Astyanax mexicanus: one gene and its partners. The protein of the gene in region 3 purifies or fractionates together with the protein of the main gene of each other region. This does not show direct contact. Links are inferred from orthologs where the notes say so. Each region holds a gene or a part of one and is shown on either strand. Other genes may lie near its edges.

Region 1 (7,973 bases), on a different chromosome or scaffold from region 3:
TCGACATTATTTACACCACACTTACATACAGATTTTTGGAAATTTCACTAGATGGTAAGTATTAACATATTTTTGTACTAACTTTTCTCTCCCCCAGGTGTTCCAATAAGAAGTCCCCCCCATCTTGTAGTACATACGGAGCACCATGATACTACAAGAAGGGGAGTTAAGATGGCCACCATTCCCCAGAAAGACCCCCAAGGTACAAAATGAGAGGAAGTGGTATTGGCCAGACTGAGGGTGGGGCACAGTAGGCTGAACAGCACTCTTGTTAGAATGAACAGGCATGTTGATGGTACCTGTGAATAATGTATGGAAAGCCCAGAAACTGTAGAGCATGTCCTAATTCACTGTAGGAAATTCCAGCAAGAGAGACAGACTCTGATTGAACAAGTAGAGGCCAATGACACAGCATTCAGTCTAAAAAATATCTTACAAAGAAATATTGGAAAGATTTTATATTGTTTTATTTACTTTTCTGTAAGAGACAGGTCTAATTAGACGCATTTCATTTCTTAGAAGAGGCAGCTACTGTTCCACACTCCAGTCAAGCGGTGGCGGTAATACACCAAAGTCGTTGTCAACCGCCATTCACGAGGAAAAGAAGAATAAGAAGAAAGACCCTCAAAGGACAACAACCAGGTAAGTATATTTTTTAGTGGTGTCAATGGATTCAAAAAAATTATCAGATTAATCACAACAAAATTCTGTGATTAACTGCGATTAAACGCATTTATTTTTCTTCTGATGTATATTTTTATAGTGGATATTTAAATGTAAATCAAAGAAAGAACGCAATTATATGTATATTGATAATGTCAATCAAAATAATAGTATATACTTGTATGTTTGAGGGGAGATAAAATCAACGTAGGGTGCTGAAATAAAGAATGCATAATAAACTGGACTGTAAAATTGGTTCAGAGGATTTCTGAATTTGAACTTAATTTGCACTGTAAGAGCGCTCGTTCAGCCAGACAAGAGATCAGTGCGTTGGGTGGGGCAGATTATGGCAGAAGTAGGGGTCAAGCATTTTAAGTTTCTAATAAGCATTTATAAAACGTCATGATAGGCAATGTAAGGCTTGTAATTGGGATCCACATATTCTTAATCTTTTCTTTATAAATCTTCCTATCCGCTTGATCCATTTCATGGTTGCAGTAAAATTAAGGTGAGAAAAGAGCCCAGACCCAGACAACCCTGTTCCCAGCTCATTCTACTACCACTTCCTTCCTCTACCACATCCCCAGCATTCCCTTGTGTCTCATAGCAGGTGGTCAGACTGAATACACCTCCACTAGAAATTGACTAGGGATCCTTTTCAGATTCCTAATCCGCTTCAACTGACTCCCCTCAAAACAAAGGAGCAGCAACTCTACACCTAGCTTCCCTCATCACAAAAAGTAAGACCAGCTTTGGGATGTAGATGTGCGTTCATTTTGGTCACTTGCATGCACAAATCCACAATCTGTTTTTAATCAGTACATAGGCTTCCTTACCATGATTAAGAGCTTCACATAATTAAGTGTATTCACCACTAGGGCCCAACACAGTGAGTGCTTCTCCCTTTTCAAATCACTTGTGATCAAGGCTCTTCTTTTGGGCCCATGTGTGCTTTTTCTGTAGGTACACTTGATCAAGTGTGAAAGCTGCTTTCGAGCCCAGGATCGGCTAAAAATGGCTTTTGAAGACAATGCTAAGCATTTACACTACTAAAATACAACATTTATTAAAAAGACACTGTTTTAAAATCAATAATGGAGAATGGCAATAATTCTAAAGAGAAGATTCTGAGTACAGTACCATTTAGTACTGTACACTTTGACATTTTTGCTAGCACATGATTAATAAATTTAGCATCATGATGTTAAGTCACTACATTACACATCTTGCACTCCTACCTTATTGAAAGGACAAATATTTCAATTTGCAAGCCAGGTTTATAAGCCCATCAGAAATACACAGGCACAACTGAGGTTCCAGCATTACTTTATTTTTACGTAGACATTGTCTGATCATAGGCTTTGGAATAAAACCGTAATGATAACAGCATATACATGCAAAGCATAAGTTATACAAAGCTGTACAAGTCAATGTATAAGGGGCAACGAAATAATTTCAATCAAACCTTAGAAAAATACATTGAGGTAGAAAAGGAGAAACTAATTATTTTAAAAATAAAAAAATAAAATAAAATAAATATCCCACACTACTCAACTTCTCATTCTCTTTTAATAATGGCACTTTCCAATCTAGATTTAAGGTCAGAGCAAAAGACCTCTGGTCTAAAATTACAGGCTGTGGCAAATGTCAAGGCTGTAGCATCAACAGGGCTCCACTGCATCCAAGGGCTCAGAAGGCAGATTCTGGTAAAGAAAAGAAATGGATTATATAGACAAAGCATCAGATTTATCTTGCACCAAAATTCAGTAATAGTCTACTGGGGTTCAACAGATTTGACATTTAAGAACTTTAAGTTTCAGACTTTCCCCCACTCACCCTAAAGTCTGTAACAGAATCAATGACCACTAGATACAGAAACTTAGAGCATGAACAGATTAAACTTTAAAATTAAACTTCGTTTAATTCCTTTAAAAAGTTAATTTGCTTACCTGACTAACTTGACCTGGTCACCTACTGCAACAGCCACAATCCACATGTCTTTCCAGCATCTGTAAATAAAGGTGGTTTAGAGGAATTCAAACCTGAGAAAATTGGCAATGTATTTAAGAAAACTTTGTTTCTCCCGACAGGATCCGAAGCAAGGAATATTAAGCCTTCACTTCAGGTTTTTGAGAGAGTTCTTCTACCCCCCTGTGTTAATCATTTAGGACATAATTGGTCTTAAATGGGCAATAAAGGGGATAAACAAGTATAAGCAACTTTAAAGCTCAATTTCTAAAAGGACTTACCAGCTTTGTGCAAGACACCTCCCATTTCAGACAGGGGCTACATCTGCATACCTCTTATCTGCAAACATAAGGCAATCACATTAGAATGGTCACTGGTAATAATCTTTGATTTTTAATGCGTATAAAAACATGTTTCTCCCGACAGGATCCGAAGCAAGGAATATTAAGCCTTCACTTCAGGTTTTTGAGAGAATTAGTCTACCCCCCTGTGTTATCCATTTAAGACATGGCCAGTCCTAAATGGGCAATAAAGGGGATAATTGTGTGCATGTTTCCAAAACATTACTAAATTTGATTAGTCTTGTTGCTTTCTCTCTTAAGCAGTTAATTTTACCTACTAAGTGCTGGGTTCCAACTACAAACCAGGACAGCTTTCCTGTGTAAACGACCATATCAAATTTGAAAAACTACCTCACATGCAGAGAAGTAAGAATGACTCAGATTAAAATGTCATTTAAAGGCAAAAACTAAGACTCACCTGAGGTTTTGTGTAGAGGGCATTATTCCAGCCTGAATCCACACTTGCAAGCCACTTCTGAAAAGATGACAAAAAAAGAAAAGAAAAAAAGAAAAAGAAATCACATTTAAAATCAGCTACTGTTAGAAGATTAACTATTAAAACTTTTAGGTCAATTATTAGACATGTTTCTCCCGACAGGATCCACAGCAAGGACTATAACCTGTGCCATAGGTTTTTGAGAGATTTTTTTTTTTACCCCTAGTATATTGATCATTAAGGACATGCATGGTCTTAAATGAGCTCCACTGAGGGGGTATGTATCTCGATTTTAAATAAATAAAAATAAAAACACCCTAACCTTTGCAGTTACCATTGTAGTGCTCATTGAAAGCTTCAAAAACCACTTAACCAGGTGGTTCAGAACTCCAACCTAGAATATCAGAAAGGACAGGCATTGAAGTAACATGAAGACTGCGAACACAAATGACAAAACCAAGATAATTATATTTATAAATATAATTATAACTATTGTCAGTAGACAATAGTTTACAGTTTCTGTGGAATTAATAAAAACGTAAATCTTGTAGTAAGCTAACTACCTGTACCACATGGGTAAGCTAACCGCTAGGTAGCTAATAAAGTAGGCCCAACCACACAACTCCCACGTGTTCATGGGGTTTAAAAAAATTACAGCCTAGAATATAAAACTTTTCCAACGCACTTACATGCAGCCAATACAAGTTTAAGTAACAATAACTTAGTTAAGTTAAGTTAACTAGTTAGCTAACAAGATACTCTAACGATAATCTAACCAGAAGTATTTAGCAGTGCTAACTACCAGAGCTAGCAGCACATTTCTGACTTCTCTAGTCAACAAATATATCCATATGAAACCTAACCGCAGCTGATTTAATGATGCAGATCTGATAACAGGTTTAACATCTAAACACAGCATGAATGTTGGTATTCTAAACTCTCACCTTCCAAACACGCCCTAAGACACAGCTCCATCTGCTCTCAGCTGCAGAACAGAAAGACCAGAGTCAGGCTCGAGGAGGGAGAAACGAGCAGAGAGGAGAGAGAGGGGGATTATGGGACTTTTAAAGACACAGGCACGCGCTGGATCCACTACACACATACAGAGGACTCCTCTGAATAACATATGTTATGTTAGCTAAACTAACTGTTCACATCCTTGATGAACAACACATATTTAATATAATTAGCTTACTGTCATGTTTATTTTACACGCTTGTTTAAAGTAAAGTAATTAAAATAAAAAGTAGATAAATGTAATTACATTTTTTTTATTCTTAAAAGTAGACGTTAAAATTACGTTTCCTTTTTTGTATTCTAAATATAAGTATAATTCGATAATAAACAGAAATTAATATGTAGTTTATTTGACACATTTTAAAAACACAATAATTTCCTGAATGAATATTCTCTCATTGGCTACAGTGTACAACACTGGGCGTTTGCGGAACTGGATCCATGGCTCTCATTGGTGGAACAGCATGTCAATCACAGTAAAGCCAGCCCTGGTTACCCTAACTTCAAAGCGGCTCGCCGTCAGAGTGGGCGGGGCGTGGGCGGGGCGTCCTGACTGGCTAGCTGGCTAGTTAACCTAGGTTACCTGCCAAGAGCAGTGATGTTTACTGCAGATTTCTCTCAGAATTTCAAAATAACGGCTCGATTTTAGCGACTAAAATGAATTGAGCTTTGTTTTGGAGATGTTTGTCTTTTAGACGGGGGGTTTGTTTGGCTCTGAGTGGAGAAAAACACTGCTCTAAGGGGGTAACGTTATAATATCAGTGTGTTGTGAGTCAGGGCTCGTCAGGCACTGCGGTTGGCCTCTCCTGGTCCAGCTGGGCTGCGGATCATCTACAGCTCTCAGCTCTGCAGCTTCTCCAGTGATGTTTGTTTTATGAAGATGTCGGCGAGGGGAACCCTGTGAACTAAATGACTGTCAGAAACATCGCCTCCATCTGTAATATGGTGAGTACACGGAGCTCTGCACCCATTGATAGGTTAGCTAACCTAGCATGAATGCTAGTCACCGGCTAGCTGGCTAGCTGAGCGCTTTGCCTGGTTGCAGGGATGCTGATGTCGAGGCTCGAGTTGATCCGGGGAGCGGGAGCAAGTGCAGGGGCTGTCCGTCCAGCTAACATGATAACGTGCAGATTCCCTGCTGCGTAGGTTTCTCTATTAGGACAAATGTAGGTTAGGAGAGGTTAATAAGGAGTTGCTGGCTTGGTTGGGCCATTAATATAACCTAGCTAGCGAGCTAACCTAGGTCAGGTAGTGTTAAACTAGAATGGATTAAACTTTATTGTTAAATGCAGCTAGAATCTAACCAGAAGTGCAGTATACAGCTCTGGAAAAATAAGAGACCACTTAAAAATGATGAAAACCTCTGGAATATAATCAAGAGAAAGATGGGTGATCACAAGCCATTAACCCAAGCTGAACTGCTAAATTTTTTGCACTAGGAGTGACATAAAATTATCCAAAAGCAGTGTGTAAGACTGGTGGAGGAGAACATGCCAAGATATATAAAAGCTGTTAAGCTGTGAAAACCAGGGTTACTATTATATCAAAAATTGATTTCTGAATTCTTAAAATTTTATGAATATAAACTTATTTTCTTTGCATTATTTGAGGTCTGAAAGCTCTGCATCTTTGTCAGTGGTTTATAGAATAAAACAGCAATGTTCAATGTACTCAAACGTATACCTATAAATGGCAAAATCATAGAAAAACTGATACAGAAATTGAAGTGGTCTCTTATTTTTTTCCAGAGCTGTAAATATATATAGAGAGAGAAATGCAGTATGCATGTACTAGGAGCAGCAATGCAAATGCAAATAAGGATATACACTATAAGAGCAGTGCAAATAGATGGTAATATGCAAAATAGAAAAATTACATCTGCAGTAGATGTTAACTTGGCTAGCTAGATATCCTAGCTTTACTCCCACAGACCTGAATCCTTAACTTTAATGGAAGTTGTATGAGCTAGTTCACAACTACAGTGACATATAAGGTTAGTTAGCAAATGTGGAAATCCAAAAGGCAGTTTTTGCTGTCAAAGAAGGAGGAGAATGATGACTGTCTTGAGAAATCCAGCTCAAAACCAGTTTTTGTTGCTGGTAGTTGGTTTCAGATTGTCTAAGCGGTCAATGGGGGTTAAGGTGGTTGAAAAGCTGGACATCCAGGCGAAAACATGACCAGCCTGCTGTTGATTTTTGCATTTGGGCCGTCCTTGGATATGCAGGCTAGTCATTCTGGTTGGGCATGCTGATCATCCATAATGGTCAAGCTTGATCATACTGGTTGTCTAACCTGGTCAGGTCCTGCTTATAGATCAGCTAAACCATAGTACTTAAACTAAAACTAAGCCTATGCTGCTGAAAACCAGTTTAACAAGCTTGACCTATGGAGTCTGTGGTCATGCATGTTATGCATGGGCAGACATGAAGAGCCACATTGACATCCATTGAAACTAGGGATCCAAATATTGAGTAATTGTTTGTAAATGCACCACACTACAGAAAGTGCTGGGACTAAAAGGCAAAGGGGCGGGATATTTCAAACAGTTACATTTGCTTAAGCTACTAAGCCTTAGTTTATATTCACGTTTTATCGGTTATTTTTTAATTTCCTATGGAAACTTGTGTAATGTTAAGGTAGAGACTGGAAAACAGGGTGACATTCACAAGTGCACAGACTTGAACATGGGAGATAAAACTTAGTGAGAGGGTGGCAGAAATCGGTGGCTAATCGACTATTTGGAAAAAAAAAGATTATCAGATTAGTAAGATAACAAAATATTCATTATTTGCAGCAATAAGTTGAAACTCACATTTGAATTTGAGAATTTCATTAGGATTACCCGTGTTTCTTTTTCATACTGTAGCTAGCAAACTGTGACTGTCATTAAGAACTCCAGACCAGACAGTGGACTAGCTAGTTACACACCTGAACATCTCTGAGGTGTACAAGTCACACCAATGTGATAAACTTAGCTATACCTATATGCTCTATGCAGTAAGCTTGGATTGTTTTCATAGTAAACAGTTTCTTCGCAAACCAGCCTTACGGGGCCATCACAGGTGCTGCAAAGCAGACATGTCAACATCAGAAACTCCCAATATAATCCAGAGTTTTTTAAATGAATAATAGAAAAGTCAGACAGGGCTCAGGTCAGTGCTCAGTCATTGGCGCTGTCTGATCGTTAAGCTGTCTGGCAGTTATTAAACTCAACTGATCTGAGTGATGTGTGGCGACCTGCTGTGCACAGGCTCAGGTGAAGTGCCAGAGCAAGTTAAGCAGCGAGCCAAGCTGACAGCCTGCAGCAAGCAGAGAGAGTTCTTAATCTGTACACATTGCCAGACCATTTGACTGCAAAGCCTTTTTTTCATGTTTTTTTCTTTTTCAGTAAAGTATTTCTCAAGTTTCACTAGATGAGAAGACTGCTTCCTGAATCTTTTCCTGAAAATCCATCTTGTAGGGCAGTTCAGTTCCTGTTCAAAGGAAGCAAGCCTCATCATCAGATTCTCTGCTTACATATGTATGATCAAATATCTTTTTCACATTTA
Region 2 (6,996 bases), on a different chromosome or scaffold from region 3:
AACCCAGGGCAGTAATACAAGACCTGCAGTAAAAGACAATGTTCAATTTATGGTGTATAAACCGTTGCACAAAATAATGGACCTAAATAGTGTCCTACTGGTAAACTTACCTGAAGGATGCTGTTCAGGTAGCATGTATTTCCCAGATTGTTAAGACCTACAAAAGGGACAAGGCTCTCTCTCTTCTCGCAAGGAACAGAAAAAGGACAAGGCACTGGCACCACCTGGTCACAACTTGGAAAACATGAAGAAAGAAAACATTATTTTCATGCAAACTTTTGGTTACATGTTGTGTCATTAATTTGGGTGACTTGACTGTAAGGTCACACACCTTTGGGCTTCTTCTGGTTCAGCTGTGCTTGGTTCTTCTACTGGAGTTTCAGAGAAGTCCAGTGCTCTTTTGGTTTCTCTCTTCTGAAAGAACCGGAGGGAGAGGCGGCTCTTTTTGTTGGGGCTTCCCAGAGGAGCCACCACTCCTTCAGCCTGTAGGCCAGGCATTCTGCTCAACGCAACAGAGAGAAATTGCAAGCGAAATCAGACTGAAATATGACAAACCTGAAGAAAAAGAAAGGGGGGAAAAAAGGACAAACATGTTAAAATCAACACTCATTTTTCTATCTCTGATGTATTAAAAACAACATTGACATCCAACATCAGAATTAATTTATATGTGCACATTAATTTTAGGCTGATCCAACATCCAACGGTTTTGTGTATTCATGTTGTACATGTTAATCTATACTTACAGGGTATATACAGTGTCAGTGAAAAAGTGTGGACACAACTTCCTATTCACTGTTTTTATTTATTTTAATTTCCTACACTGCAGATTAATATTTATGACATCAAAACAATTAAGGGACACGTGGAATTATGCAGTAAAAAAATCTCAACCTGAATGAGATGGGTGATTTTGGATGAGCTGGAGCTTCACAGTGTAAAGGAAAAGCAGAAACTATTGTTCAGCACCTCCAGGAACTGAGAAAACTGAGAAATGCTGAGAAAACTATTCCAGGTGACTTTAACTCATGAAACCACTCAGAAAATACCAAGAGTCTGTACTCAAAGCTAAATGTGGCTACTTAGAAGAATCTAAAGTATAAAACATATTCTGGTTTGTTTAACCCATATAATTTACAAAATAATTGTGCATGTGTTCCTGTATAGCATTAATGTCTTTTTAATGTTAGATTTACAATGTAAAAAAAATTTAAAACGAAAATAAAATGAATGAGATTGAATGAGAGGAGGTGTGTCTTAACTTCTGACTGGTTTTGTATTTTGTTTGTATTCTAATCTTATGGCTTGTAGTGTAAAATCAAGTCAAATTTATTTCTGAAGCACATTTAAAAACCACAAGGGCCAACTAAAGTGCTGTACAGTACAAGAGTAGAAAATGTAATGTATAAAACTAAATAACAAATAAGATACAAGATAAGTAAACAAGAATAGTGTGACAGATGCCTATGAGAGAATATTAGCAAAATTATTTAGAGGTTGTTTTCACGTCATAAACATTAAATGCAGATAGTAATGCAACCTAAAATAACGTTACTTTGCTATCATACATTTATCTGAATGCAAACAACTGGTAGTTGCTAACCTACCTAAATTAGCTAGCTAACGTAGTCGACGTATGGTTTGTTCCCTTAAAAATCCAGTAAAAACAGACAGTGCAGGTACGGTTACTGGCTACAGACTATTTTAAAATAAAAATACTAAAAATAAAAAAAACAGTTAACGTTAACTTAACCCTAGAACATTGCTGGCCATGAGTGGCCCATGCGACTGAGGGTAAATACAGCGCTAGCTAGCTGGCTAGCCACAACTTATCCCACAGCTCCCGTTACGTGCTGCTAATAAGTTCGTTTAGTTTATTTTGTTTTTGCAAAACATACACACATAAAAAAGGTAAAAAAAAAATAGATAACAAAGAAAAGGAAGAAAACAAAACATCTATATCGTGCATTAAAACAATCAATACAAACCGAAAAGGTATAGGCTGAAGCTTTAGGTTAAGGTAGCTAGGCAGCTAGCTAGTCGGGGAGGGTGTTGAGTCGAGTTGCGGTACATGTCGATATGTGCTTTTACCACTAGCGCGCAAGCGCGGATACAAATTTTAAGCAATTTTTTGTTTGTTTTTACGATAATTCTGTTTAAATCGGGTGAAAAAAGCCGGACCACCTGTCATTATTTATAGTTGTATACAATTGTGTAAATGACACTTAATAATAAGTAATAGTAATAATAATAATAGTAATAATAATAATAATAGTAATAATAATAATAATAATAATAATAATAATAATAATAATAATAATAATAAGTAATAACACAACCAATACAAATATAAATAAAAAAACGGGTTGTTTTTCCTTTACTTTACCCTGACATATTGATTTAGGCTTTACAACAATCATACCGATACTACTTTCAAATATGTCGATTTTCTGGCATTTTTATGTTTAAATACACGCTAGGGTAGCACGATTTGACAGGGTAGCACAGCTCGACACAACACCAGCTATCTTGGCTAAGCTAGCTAAAAGTTACATAAGCGGGCCCAGTAAAATAACAGTAGACACAACACTTTTTCCATGATTCACTTTAAACATTAACCTAGCTATCTAACTATTATTACTGATCTGTATTCGAGCTCAGAGCACAGTTTAAACTAAGCTGGCCAAACATAGTGCAGCTCGCGCCAACAGCTTCACGCGCTGCCCTCAACTAACGTTACAACTTCCCACCTCACCTAACCTAACCTAACCTAACTACAGCCCAGTCTAAAAACACAACCAAACACACAAACCTGTACCGCACACGCTCCACCTAGCGCCTTATTCACATCCTCGGTTACATCTTCGTGCAGGATCTGCTGTATTTACCGTGGGTTCTCTGTAGTATATATTTCTTAAACTCGCTGCATACGCAGAAGATTTCGCAGAGGTTCTCGCCGCAGCGAACAACTTTGGCGGGCGCTTTTTCCAGCAGATGCACGCCCAAATTCTCCCCCCTTCATCGCCTGCAGGAAAAATGACGCTCGCTTTATTCAAATATTCCAGTATTTAATGCACAAACAGCAGCGTATCACACACGAATGCGAGCGAACGCAACTCTGAAATGTGTGATTCTTTAAAACACAATAAATTAAAACCAGATAATATGTTTTATTTATTGCACAGGCAACCCGCGGGACCACCCGTCTCATCACGTGTCCGCGGTGCTCCTTAGAGAGGCGGGTTCCTCGATTTCTGCAGCTTCTTCTTTTCATTCAGTCTCACCCGAATCTCTACTGATTTAAAACTGATTTGGATGTCTCTACTTTAACACGCGACACTCTTTTTACTCCGACGAGACCGATGAAGCGATTACACCGCTGAAAAAGGGCCGCACGTGCTAGGTTTTGATTCGACCTATGATTTTTAAAAGCGGGGAAGCGTTCAACCCAAGACATCGTCCAATCACGAGTCGAATAAAAAACGCGCGCCGTTTTTTTAAAGGCGATTTCATTTACACAACATACAATCTAAAACACAGAAGAAAACACAATATTAGGTCACAAAAAAAGTTCAAACAAACATGATTATAAAAACACAAAAGCACAGACACAAACCATAAACAAACACAAGCAAAAAAGAAAAGGGATTTATATAAAATTGAAAAGCTTAAACATATCTATAGATATGTGTCGAAAACTAGTCAGTAGGTGTTTATAATTATATGTCTAAATGTAAAAATGTTTGGCGAATTTTGTTTTGTGTATATGAAATTTACCAAAAGGAAGGGTCATCAAAAATATACAATACATACTGGACTGGGAATTTCCGTACCCAACCTTCTCTTCAGGTCTAAACAAAGATCAATCCAAAAAGATTTTCAATGCAATTCTATTGCAAAGAATAAAATATGCATGGCTAATTTACATATTTACATATAAATGTATGAATTAGCCGTGTATGTTGTAGCCATGTAGTGTAGTGTGGTTTAGGCCTGGCAGACTAGAACCTCTTTTTCAACTGTATTATAATATTGCAAGGTAAGCGTTGCTTTGTTAAATCGCTAAATCAAACAGCTAATGTTTCACCAGGCTGTCAATTTTGTCACGTTATTAATGTGTGGAAAGAGAGTAACATGTTTTAGTATTATATATATATATATATATATATATATATATATATATATATATATATATATATATATATATAAATTATAATTTAGTTGAAGCAGTTAGTTGGGAATGTTTAGGTTTGAATGCTTGAAAGGAGCTGTTGGACTGGCTGGAGGAGCATCACCCCGGTTTCCCAAGACCAGTTTATGCCCGCCTGCACGGTAAGAAACATGAATAATCTTCCTGTATTTCAGTATAAAACTGAACTAGAATCAGCCCCGTTCACACAGCACTGCACTCCTGATATACAGTAACCCGAGTAAACTCAGAACCGCTATAGAAAAGCTTTCTGAAGAAAATCCACATTATAGCGTCGCTGTGAGAAAGTCACGTGACCCCAGTCAATCAAACCCAATATACTGGAATTATGATATATAAAATATCTGATGTTATTGATTACAGGTGAGGGGCGTCCTTCTTCCGAGGCTTACGTGTTCCTCAGTCCGGATTTTCCTCTGCAGTTCATCTCCCTCCCCGAAGTCGGTAAGTTCTCTATTATCAGTTCTTTAGTCTCTCTCTCATAATCATGAATCCTCACATAAAATCTGTACATCTGTACATGTGCAGTTGTAGCTGATTGAATAGTGAATGAGTGTAGATGGTTTTGAGCAGCACTGATGTTTTTTTTTTTCTGTTTATTTGTTCATCTGCAGGTCTGTACTACCCCTTTTACTTCCCCACCCAGCAGAGCCGAGTACTGGAAGTGGTTCCTGTACAGCCTGGTTGCTCACCTGATCTACATGGATCTACAGTGGAACGAGAGGACCAGCTTCACCACATCCACCTGCAGACGCCTGGAGCCTCAACCACCCAGGAACAACAAGCGCAAGGGGCCCTGCGTTGTGCTCACCGAGGACGACTGGACACCACCCTGCAAGAAACTTCGCCTCTGATTCATCAATATCCTTTTTTACCAGTATCCTTTATTTAATTATCTTATCTTTGTATAACTTTACATTTCTGATACATTTATAATCTTTATGATTTTTAGAGAGTTGATAAGTTTATTTTATATTACTTTTTAATTTTCAATTTATTTTGTTGAACTAACTATTTATTTGTTTAATTAGCTTAACTAAGTTTAGTTTTGTAGTACACAGTTTTTCCTTGCCCCTTTTAGTCTTAATCTTACTTACTTAATAAAATGTATTCAAATATTACAAAAAACAATTAGCTTTTAACCAATGAAAATCATAAGATGTTACAAAAAACAATAAGCTTTTAAAACAATAAAAATAATAAAACAAAAATAGTTATCGTTTAAAACAATAAAAGTAATAAAAAAACAGCTAGCTCTTAAAACAATAAAAATAATAAAACATTACAAACAACATTTAGCTTTTAAAACAATAAAAGTAATAAAACATTACAAAAAATGAACTTTTAAAATATTAAAAAATATAAAAACATTACAAAAAACAATTACATTTTATAACAATAGAAATAATAAAAAATAAAAAAACAATTCACTTTTATAACAATAATAAAACATTACAAAAGATTATTAGCTTTTAAAATATTGTAAAATAATAAAACATTACAAAAAACAATTAACTTTTATAACAATAAAAAATAATAAAAAAACAGAAACAATTAGCTTTTGAAAAAATAATAAAACATTACAAAAAATATTAGCTTTTAAAATATTATAAAATAATAAAACGTTACAAAAAACAATTAGCTTTAAAAAAACATTACAAAAACAATACCATAAATAATAAAACAATAACAATAATAAAACATTATAAACAATTAGCTTTTAAAATAATAAACCATTACGAAAAACAATTAACTTTTATAACAGTAAAAAATAATAAAAACATTACACATTTTCAAAATATATCAGAATTTGTTTTGAAGTTTCAGAACTGTTTTAAAATGTTTTTTTATTAATAATATTTATTGTTTTAATTGTTAATGTAATTGTGTTGTTTTTTATTTGTAGAGAATATTATTAATAAACTTATTTTTAAACCTACATTTTGTCTCATGTCTTTTATTTCTTATATCTGTTTGTAAATATTAGCTACTCAATTGTGTGGCATGTTTTTTTCAGTACTGATGGCAGATATACACACAGTTTCAGTGCTGTACTATATGGATACACTAAACATTTATGATTTTTATTCATTTATGTTTTATTCAAAGATGTAAGTTTGTGTGCCACGATGCTCAGTTAAAGAGATCAACATTAGTCTTTTATATATAAGTGAGTGAACTGACTCAGGGTTTAATGTTGGTCATTTATGTAAAAGAAATAGAAGTGTAGCCATAATGCTCTAAAGAAATGAAAAATAGCAGGTGCTAATCACAGAAATCTCTGCATTGTTGTATAGTTTACACTACGCTACATTTATCTGCTTTTAACTGGGGTTATGTGGACCTTGTTGTTTACATTACACAAGCCAATAAAGATGTGGCTCACACCATAGACATTCTTTTACCTGAACAGCTTCAGTCCCGTTGTCTCATGAGTTTACATTCTCAAGCAAACCAGCTTTACCCACCAATCAATTTTAAGATATGTGCACAATTCTTTCCCTTCAAATTGTTAAAAGAGTATATTATATTAAGACTCCATGTACAACCAAAATAAGTATTTCTCACATTTTTTGGGGCTTTTATTTACTGTGGCCTGGCTGCACATTCAGTAGTGTGAGAGTTAACAACACTAACTTTAACTATTTGTAAACCTGTTTAGTTCATATTTTTTCAGTTCAGTGTTCACAAAAATATAAATGTATTCAATAAATGTGGAACAACGTTCATGCACAACGCTGCACATCTTTAAGTAGTTGACACACCAACATTGGCTTGCATGCAGG
Region 3 (7,918 bases):
ATTTTGACCACTATAGGGTATATATCCTTTAGTGTTTAATGGTTTATCTGGTCTACAAACATTATCATCTTTGAACAGAATGACTTCTGACGGGAAAGTGGAAGGAGTGGTGTGTGTGACCTCAAGCATACTGAGTTGCCCCCCCTGCTGAATATACAGCTCAAGTCGGTCATGCTGATGCTGTTTTTTGACCAGCCTTGATTTTGACCACTATAGGGTATATATCCTTTAGTGTTTGATTGTTTATCTGGTCTACAAACATTATCATCAGTACGCCTAAAATAAAATTCAACACACATTATGATGGTCAAGAGCTGGTTAACAAGTTAATTTACCTCTATAGTGCATGTTTTTGTCTGAAGAATAAGATTTTCAATCAGTTTGACTATTAAAGATCAGCTTAGACCATCCGAACCCTGCTACCAGCAAAAACCGTCCTTAAAACTGGATATTTCCACAGGGCCCTGACTATCTCAACTAGAATCCTACATCAGATGAATTTGGTGGTGAACTGAATGTCTGTTAAATGCTCAGAAATTGCTCAAGAGTAAAAAAAATATATTGCCTTGAAATTAGATAATTTTACTTGCTAAGTTTTTTTTTTTTTTTTGCTGTGTACAGCTGTATGCTAAACTAAACATCTTAAAATGTTAATATATAGTCATAACAACTGTTAACTATGTTTTTTTGTTACCTGAAAATCTGAAAAACATTACATTTATTTTATGAAGGTGTCAATATAGCCTAAAATCTAGCGATCAGCTTTTTGTATTTCGTTATCATCAATCATTTATCTTTATTTATTTGGTACTGTCACAGTTTATCAGATTAACCTCAGACATACATATTTAGCCACAAGGCTAACAGGTTCTAAAATCAACAGTTGGTGTAAGCTAACTGGTCATGCACTTTAGATAGCTAGCCAGCTAACAAACTACAAACAGTCAAACATGGGATTTAAATGCCCTTTAAATGATCATAAGATGCTTAAATGTGGAACTGACTGATATTAGTGAGTCAATATGGAATCTGTTGTATTTGGGCACTTTTAGAGACATAGGCCAAGTTGATACTCTTATACCTACATCTTTTTAATAGAAAAAATAGATTTAGATCATTTCACTTTCTAATATTATTTTTTTTTCGAAATGTAATGTTACTGCTCAACTGTATTAAACCACTGGTGTTTTTTATACATAGCCATAACAACTATGATATGTTATCTGTTTTTCCTGAAAAATTGAAAAACATTATGATCATTTTAGAAAAGTTTTGATAATGCTTAAAATCTAACAGTCAGCTTTCATTATTTCGTTATTATCGATCATTTATCTTTATCTACATAGTGCTTTCACAGTTTCAACTAAAGATTTACCTCAGACATACAGATTTAGCCACAATGCTAACAGGTTATAAAAGTGACAGTTGGTGTAAGTTAGCAGGTCCAGCGCTTTAGCTAGCTAGCAAACTAGAAACAGCGGATTGTGGGATTTAAATGCCCTTTGAATGTTCGGCAGTTGCTCAAATCTTTATCATAGAGAAAATAAGACTTATTGCATGGAAATTAGATAATTTTACTTGCTAATACTATTTTTTTTCTAAGTGTATGCTCAACTGTATTAAACCATAGCTGTTTTAAAAAAAAAATCATTGCAATTACTTTAAAAATGTGTCAATATAGCTTAAAATCTAGCGGTCAGCTTTCTTTATTTCGTTATTATTGATTATTTATCTTTATCTACATCCTGCTGTCACAGTTTAACAAAGGTTTACCTCAGAGGCGCAGATTTAGCCAAGATGCTAACAGGTTATAAAAGTGAAAGTTGGTGTAAGTTAGCAGGTCCAGCGCTTTAGCTAGCTAGCAAACTAGAAACAGCGGATTGTGGGATTTAAATGCCCTTTAAATGTTCAGCAGGTGCTTAAATCTTTATCATAGAGAAACTAAGATTTATTGCATGGAAATTAGATCATTTTACTTGCTAATAGTATTTTTTTCTAAGTGTATGCTTAACTGTATTAAACCATTGCTGTTTTTTAAAAACATTACAATTAACTTAACTTACTTTAAAAAGGTATCGATATAGCTTAAAATCTAGCAGTCAGCTTTCATTATTTCGTTATTATTGATTATTTATCTTTATCTACATAGTGCTTTCACAGATTCAACTAAAGATTTACCTCAGAGGTGCAGATTTAGCCACGATGCTAACAGGTTATAAAAGTGACAGTTGGTGTGAGTTAGCTGGTCGCGCGCTGTAGCTAGTTAGCAAAAGGGCGGGAAGGATCGGGGCGCTGGGTGTAAACCCGGTTAACCGGAGAGCCCGGCTCCTGTCAGGGTACAGACAGCTAGCTATCATCATCATCATCATCTCTCGCTGAACGGACGGACGGGTGGGAGAAGGGAGGGAGGGGGTCAATGGCGTTCCGAGCGAGGCGTTCTCGATGCTGTTCACGATGCTATTCACACACGTAGGCTGTTGCCTTTCGGCCCTCGTTAACGGGAACATCATCCCTCCGCAGCCGCTCGCTCACAGCTCTCGGTAACGGTAACCCAGCTAGCTAGCTAACTAACCGCATAACTAACTAGTTAACGAGATAAATAACTGACGCCACAGATGTGTTACCTTTAAAACCCGTATCCCCGTGGTGCCACCCCGGGCTGCCACAGCGCCGCGCTCTCCCGCCCCCTCGACAAGCCCCGGCTTCGGCTTGGTCCACGCAGCCTCAGCGCCAGCCCCCGCCGCAGATCCAGTCACCGCCACGGCCACCGCCGCGCCGCTCCGGTCGCCGTCCTCCACAGCAGCCCCGTTTTTCGCGTCCGCCTCGGCATTCCGCACCGGCCTCGCCGCGTTCTCCTCGTCCTTCATCCTCTCGCCTACATTTACGTCCCGTTTTCAACCCAAACGTCCAGATGTCGCGTCGCAGCTGACCAGCGGTAAATTCCAGCACAGGCGGCGGCGGAAAAAGCCCATCCTGATTCGGTGAGACGCCATAATGGGACCGAATCGCACGGCTGTCAGATCCGCGCTCAATAAACAGTAGAGGGCGGGGCTAATTATTATTCATGAGGCACTGCCCATTCCTGGGCTTCGGATTTAATGAATTATTCATGAGAACAGGAACGCCCAAAACAGGTGCTTCGTGACAAATGATAGGAAATATATAAAAAATCTTGTGTTTTTATCTCTTTTTATGATTCATGTTTTTTTTCTTTTTGAATACAATATTTTTTGGCCAGGAATTAAAAGCTATACAGGAACTACAGGTTGGCGATATTGCCCCCAAATAATATTTTTTTTATAAAATAGTATTTTTGCTATTAATTATTTTTTTGTACATATTATACATTTTTATTAATTTCAAGAAAATACTACTGCAAAAATATGTTTGTTTTCATTTTATTCAGCATAAATCTAAACGTTTCTATGTACAATCTATAAACATTTGTCTATTTCATAAAAAGTAACTTACCGAGACTTTAATTTTATATAAAATAATAGTAAACAAAAAAATAAATTGTAGGAAAAATAGCTTAATGTAATTACAGAACAACAAAACAATCTACATCTCAAAATTAGAAAATTTGCCTTATTTCAGTAATTCAGTTCAAAATGTGAAACTCTTATATTATAATAAATGTATTACACACAGAGTGATCTATTTTAAGCGCATATTTAGTTTATTGTGGATTATTTTGTCTTACAGGCATTAAAAACCCCAAAATTAGTATCTCAAAAAAATTAGAATATTATTTAAGACAAATTCTACTTTTGGCAATGTGGGCAGTGTACCAAGTCCTGCTGGAAAATGAAATCCTCATCTCCATAAAAGTTGTCAGCAGAGGGAAACATGAAGTGCTGTAAGATTTTGCGTGAAAACAAAACTGCACTGATTTTAGACCTAATAATAAAACACAGTGGATCAACACCAGCAGATGACATGTCTCTCCAAACCATCACTGATTGTGGAAACTTCACACTACTACTTTATTTCCAAATGAAATGTAAAATTTGCTGATGGTTAGTGATGGTTTGGAGAGTCATGTAATCTGCTGCTGTTGGTACCAGTAAACAAAAGTATATTTAGTGCCTGTGGATAAACTGCAAACAAACAATTAAAAATAAATACAGTAAATAAGAAAACAAATACAAAATAGACAGCTTCAAAGAATATTACAATATCACAATATGGAGGTATTTTTTTATATGTTCAAAAATTTGCACTATTTTTGCGTATGATACGATATGGCACATGGAATTATTTTGTGAACAACAACATAAAAAGGGGGTTAAACAAATGAGAATATGTTTTATACATTAGATTCTTCTAAGTACCACTTTCAATACTAAAACAGGGTGGTTATCAGTCCTAATCTATTAGTACTTCTACTCTACAGGACAACTGGACATGTAATGTATAATAATTTACATATAACAAAAAGTAATAGAGGCTAGTTTTATAAGACGTCACACTTATGTATATAGCTGTAAAAGATTTTATCATAAAATATACATTCAGTTTGATGTCATGCATCACAAAGATCATCACAAAGTCAATATGCTTAGTTTTGTATTTCATGGGCGTGTCTCATTCTTATCAAAGAGCAAGTTCACCTTGATAATATAGGCTTAACAAAGTTTATATATGGTTTTAAAGTTCAAATTTAAACAGTCCTGAACATGGTCACTTCATATGTCTCACACACACTTGTCAAACCACGTGTTAAAGATAAATAAAATGCCTCTAATGTTTAATATTTAACCTTTTTTGTACCAGCCCAACTAAGTAGAGGTGACAGGCCATATGCACTATGTAATGGGTGCTTATCTATATATAGAAAAAACAGACCTTAAACAAAGACCCACAAGGTAAGCCAACACACAACAACACAGATTCAGAGTAGAGACTTTACGATTGGGTAGTAAAAACTGTCCAATCCAGGCTATGAAGGAATCATGTAGTAAATTAAAAGTGTTAAACAAACTAAAATACCCTGTGAAGAAGCATTTAGGTGCTCTTATCTGGGGAGCTGTTAAGTTGCGGTTTCCATAGGTGGTAACTCTAAAGAACTTATCCTGTGCAACAAAGGAATCTTTTGCGCTTCCTTTCCTGGGGCGGTCCTGATGAGTGCCAGTTTCATCCTAACGTTATTAATGTTTTTTTGCTGTCTTTTTTTTCTTTACTTAGTTGAGTAGTTCTTGCTTCTCATAATCTGGATTAGAACATTACTCAAATATTCCCTATTCACTGTATACCTGTAACTCTACCTCTGCACTACTTTACTTTAACTGATGCTCTCAAACACTTTATTATGAGACAAGAAATTCAAGTAATTAACTCTTGACTAGTTCAGCTGATGAAGATGTGTCCTAACTTTTGACAGGTATTGTGGCCAGTGGACAGAGTTTACTTGAGGAAAATGTGTGTATTTTAAATCCATTTTAAGTCTATATGGAGAACAACAAACATACACTTTTTTATTTAAGGTAATGTCATTATTTATCTTTATTAAGAATTATATATTTAAAGTAACCCTAAATATGCTACATGTTCAAATATATGTTTGTGAATGCACCTACTGCTGACACATAGACGTCCTAATGCACACATAGACAGTGGTCTGAAAAAGTTTGGGCACCCCTGATCATTTTGATAATGATTTTCCTTTATAAATCATTGGTTGTTCAGATTAGAAATTTCAGTTAAATATATCATATAGCAGATGAACACAGTGATATTTGAGAAGCGAAATTAAGTTTATAGGGTTTACAGAAAGTGTGTAATAATCCTTTAAACTAAAATAGGCAGGTGCATAAATGTGGGGACCCCAACAGAAAATACATCAAATCAATATTTAGTAGATCCTCCTTTTGCATAAATAACAGCCTCTAAACTCTTCTTATAGCTTCCAATGAGGGCTGGCTTCTGGTTGAAGGTATTTTTGACCATAAGGGTGCCTGCATTTATGTACCTGCTTAATTTTGTTTTCAAAGAATTATTGCACACTTCCTGTAAATCCTATAAACTTCATTTTACTTCTCAAATATCACTGTGTTCGTTTGCTTTATGATATATTCAACTGAAATTACTGATCTGAACAACCAATGATTTATAAAGAAAAATAATAAAAGTTATCAGGGTTGCCCAAACTTTTTTTTAACCACTGTACACACAGCTTATCTAGTCCCTAAAATAGATAAATACAATGAACCTATTGGTGCCTTGCTTAATCTAATGGAACGTGTGGGCTAGATAAAAGGTTTTATGGAATGATGGAGCTCCATCCAATGCTTGAATGCGATGAATTGCTAAATGCAACCAAATCCTCACAGCAGTGCTTCAAAAATCTAGAAGAAAGACATCCCCGGGACACAACAAGATGACAGACTTGTTTTTAATACCCTTGATTTCAGAAAAAATCAATAAATTAATAGGCATCCCACAACCTTTATCCATATAGGGTTTTTAAGCCCAGTTTTTTATACTGAGTACACAAGAAACTCAATTTCAAACCTACTAGCAGAGGGATTTAGTCAGAATTGTAATACAAAATATTATTTTTCTTCGTATTTTATTTAGTTAAGCTATTTTAATGATATAGGGCACTTACAGAATACTGAGTGTTTTACTAAACTCCATGAAAAACAGTAAGAAATACTGTGATTTCACCTGTGACACAGACTGCAGCATTACTCCATTCCTCCAAGCTATTTCTACATCCTCCCTGTGAGGCACGTGAGAGTGGATGCTGTCACTAAGATGGAAAAGCACAAACCTTTAAACATGACATCAGTGCATAATGACTCAGTATTTTACTGAAACACACAATGGCTCTATACTTTATCATATCTGTCTTATCACAGACTCAGCAGTTCATCACGTACTGATATAACCTTTCCAGTATAGTGATTTACAGGATAATTCGTGTATGGTTTTCTTATCAATACATAACATTATTATTATTATTATTTTACAGTTCTCCTATGTCACCACAAGAGGGCAGCAGTGTAACAGATAATCATAGACTCTACCCCAGGGTTCTTCTGTGGTTCCAGAACCTAAAAGAGAACCATCTAAACAAACTCCTGGGGTTTATTTTAGATGAATGCTTCTCAGGAGAGCCAATTATACCCAATGAAAGAAAACATATGGAAAAAGGAGAACAATTGATTGTGAAGAATTACCTCAGGGGATGGCTTGAGGACGTGGGAACCCACACCTGTGTAAGTTGTGAGGTGTTATCTTGTGTACCACTGTGGGTGGTAGTGATGGCGACCGGTGGCATCTGGCTAGAATTGTCCATGCAAACAACAAAGTACAAACAAGAGACTCGGGCAGAAAATCACATCCATAATCAGTGCAGAAGACCCCACACACACATATCCCACAGCTTTTAGGCGACGTGGCAAAAGTCATGGGACACATGAAGCAAATAAAGCAAGCTGTATACAGGCTTTTAGTGATAACTTAAGGAGACTTCTCTTTTTACATTCTCAAAATTAATTGCACCATTGACATTTATTTTGTCAAAAAACAAGATAAAAAGTCAAAGAAAGCAGAGATACATTATATACTAGTGCATCTCAAAAATGTAAATATCATTTAAAGGTTTTTTAAGTCTTTATTACTTTTATGTTGATGATTATGGCTTACAGCCAATGAAAACACAAAAATCAGTGTCTCAGAAAATTAGAATATTATATAAGACCAATTGGTACTTTTGGCAGTACTGTGGGCAGTGTGCCAAGTCTCCATAAAAAGGGAAGCATTAAGTGCCGTAAGATTTTGCTGGAAAACATTGGTTTTGACTTTAGACTTGATAATAAAACACAGTGGATCAACACCAGCAGATATCAGACATGTCTCTCCAAACCATCACTGATTGGTGGAAACTTCACACTAGACCTCGAGCAGTTTG

Evidence for each region. Proteins that work in one complex are often made in the same cells at the same time.
Region 1: the proteins of phlpp2 (region 3) and usp46 purify together in Homo sapiens (affinity purification with mass spectrometry; 4 studies listed by BioGRID and IntAct, counting the BioPlex papers as one, with this or other methods). This does not show direct contact. The link is inferred for Astyanax mexicanus from reciprocal best matches to the Homo sapiens genes PHLPP2 and USP46.
Region 2: the proteins of phlpp2 (region 3) and usp1 purify together in Homo sapiens (affinity purification with mass spectrometry; 3 studies listed by BioGRID and IntAct, with this or other methods). This does not show direct contact. The link is inferred for Astyanax mexicanus from reciprocal best matches to the Homo sapiens genes PHLPP2 and USP1.

What each region holds. Positions count from the first base shown.
Region 1 is NC_064408.1:65,042,568-65,050,540, forward strand, and holds the start of usp46 (ubiquitin carboxyl-terminal hydrolase 46), read left to right. Parts: upstream 1-4,972; 5' UTR 4,973-5,334; coding exon 5,335-5,370; intron 5,371-7,973. UniProt on the Homo sapiens protein: Deubiquitinating enzyme that plays a role in behavior, possibly by regulating GABA action. May act by mediating the deubiquitination of GAD1/GAD67.
Region 2 is NC_064412.1:23,424,397-23,431,392, reverse strand, and holds the start of usp1 (ubiquitin carboxyl-terminal hydrolase 1), read right to left. Parts: upstream 3,002-6,996; 5' UTR 2,813-3,001; intron 556-2,812; 5' UTR 499-555; coding exon 332-498; intron 235-331; coding exon 111-234; intron 24-110; coding exon 1-23. UniProt on the Homo sapiens protein: Negative regulator of DNA damage repair which specifically deubiquitinates monoubiquitinated FANCD2. Also involved in PCNA-mediated translesion synthesis (TLS) by deubiquitinating monoubiquitinated PCNA.
Region 3 is NC_064423.1:38,447,806-38,455,723, forward strand, and holds the start of phlpp2 (PH domain leucine-rich repeat-containing protein phosphatase 2), read right to left. Parts: upstream 3,014-7,918; 5' UTR 2,868-3,013; coding exon 2,625-2,867; intron 2,378-2,624; exon of another isoform or gene 2,179-2,377; intron 1-2,178. UniProt on the Homo sapiens protein: Protein phosphatase involved in regulation of Akt and PKC signaling.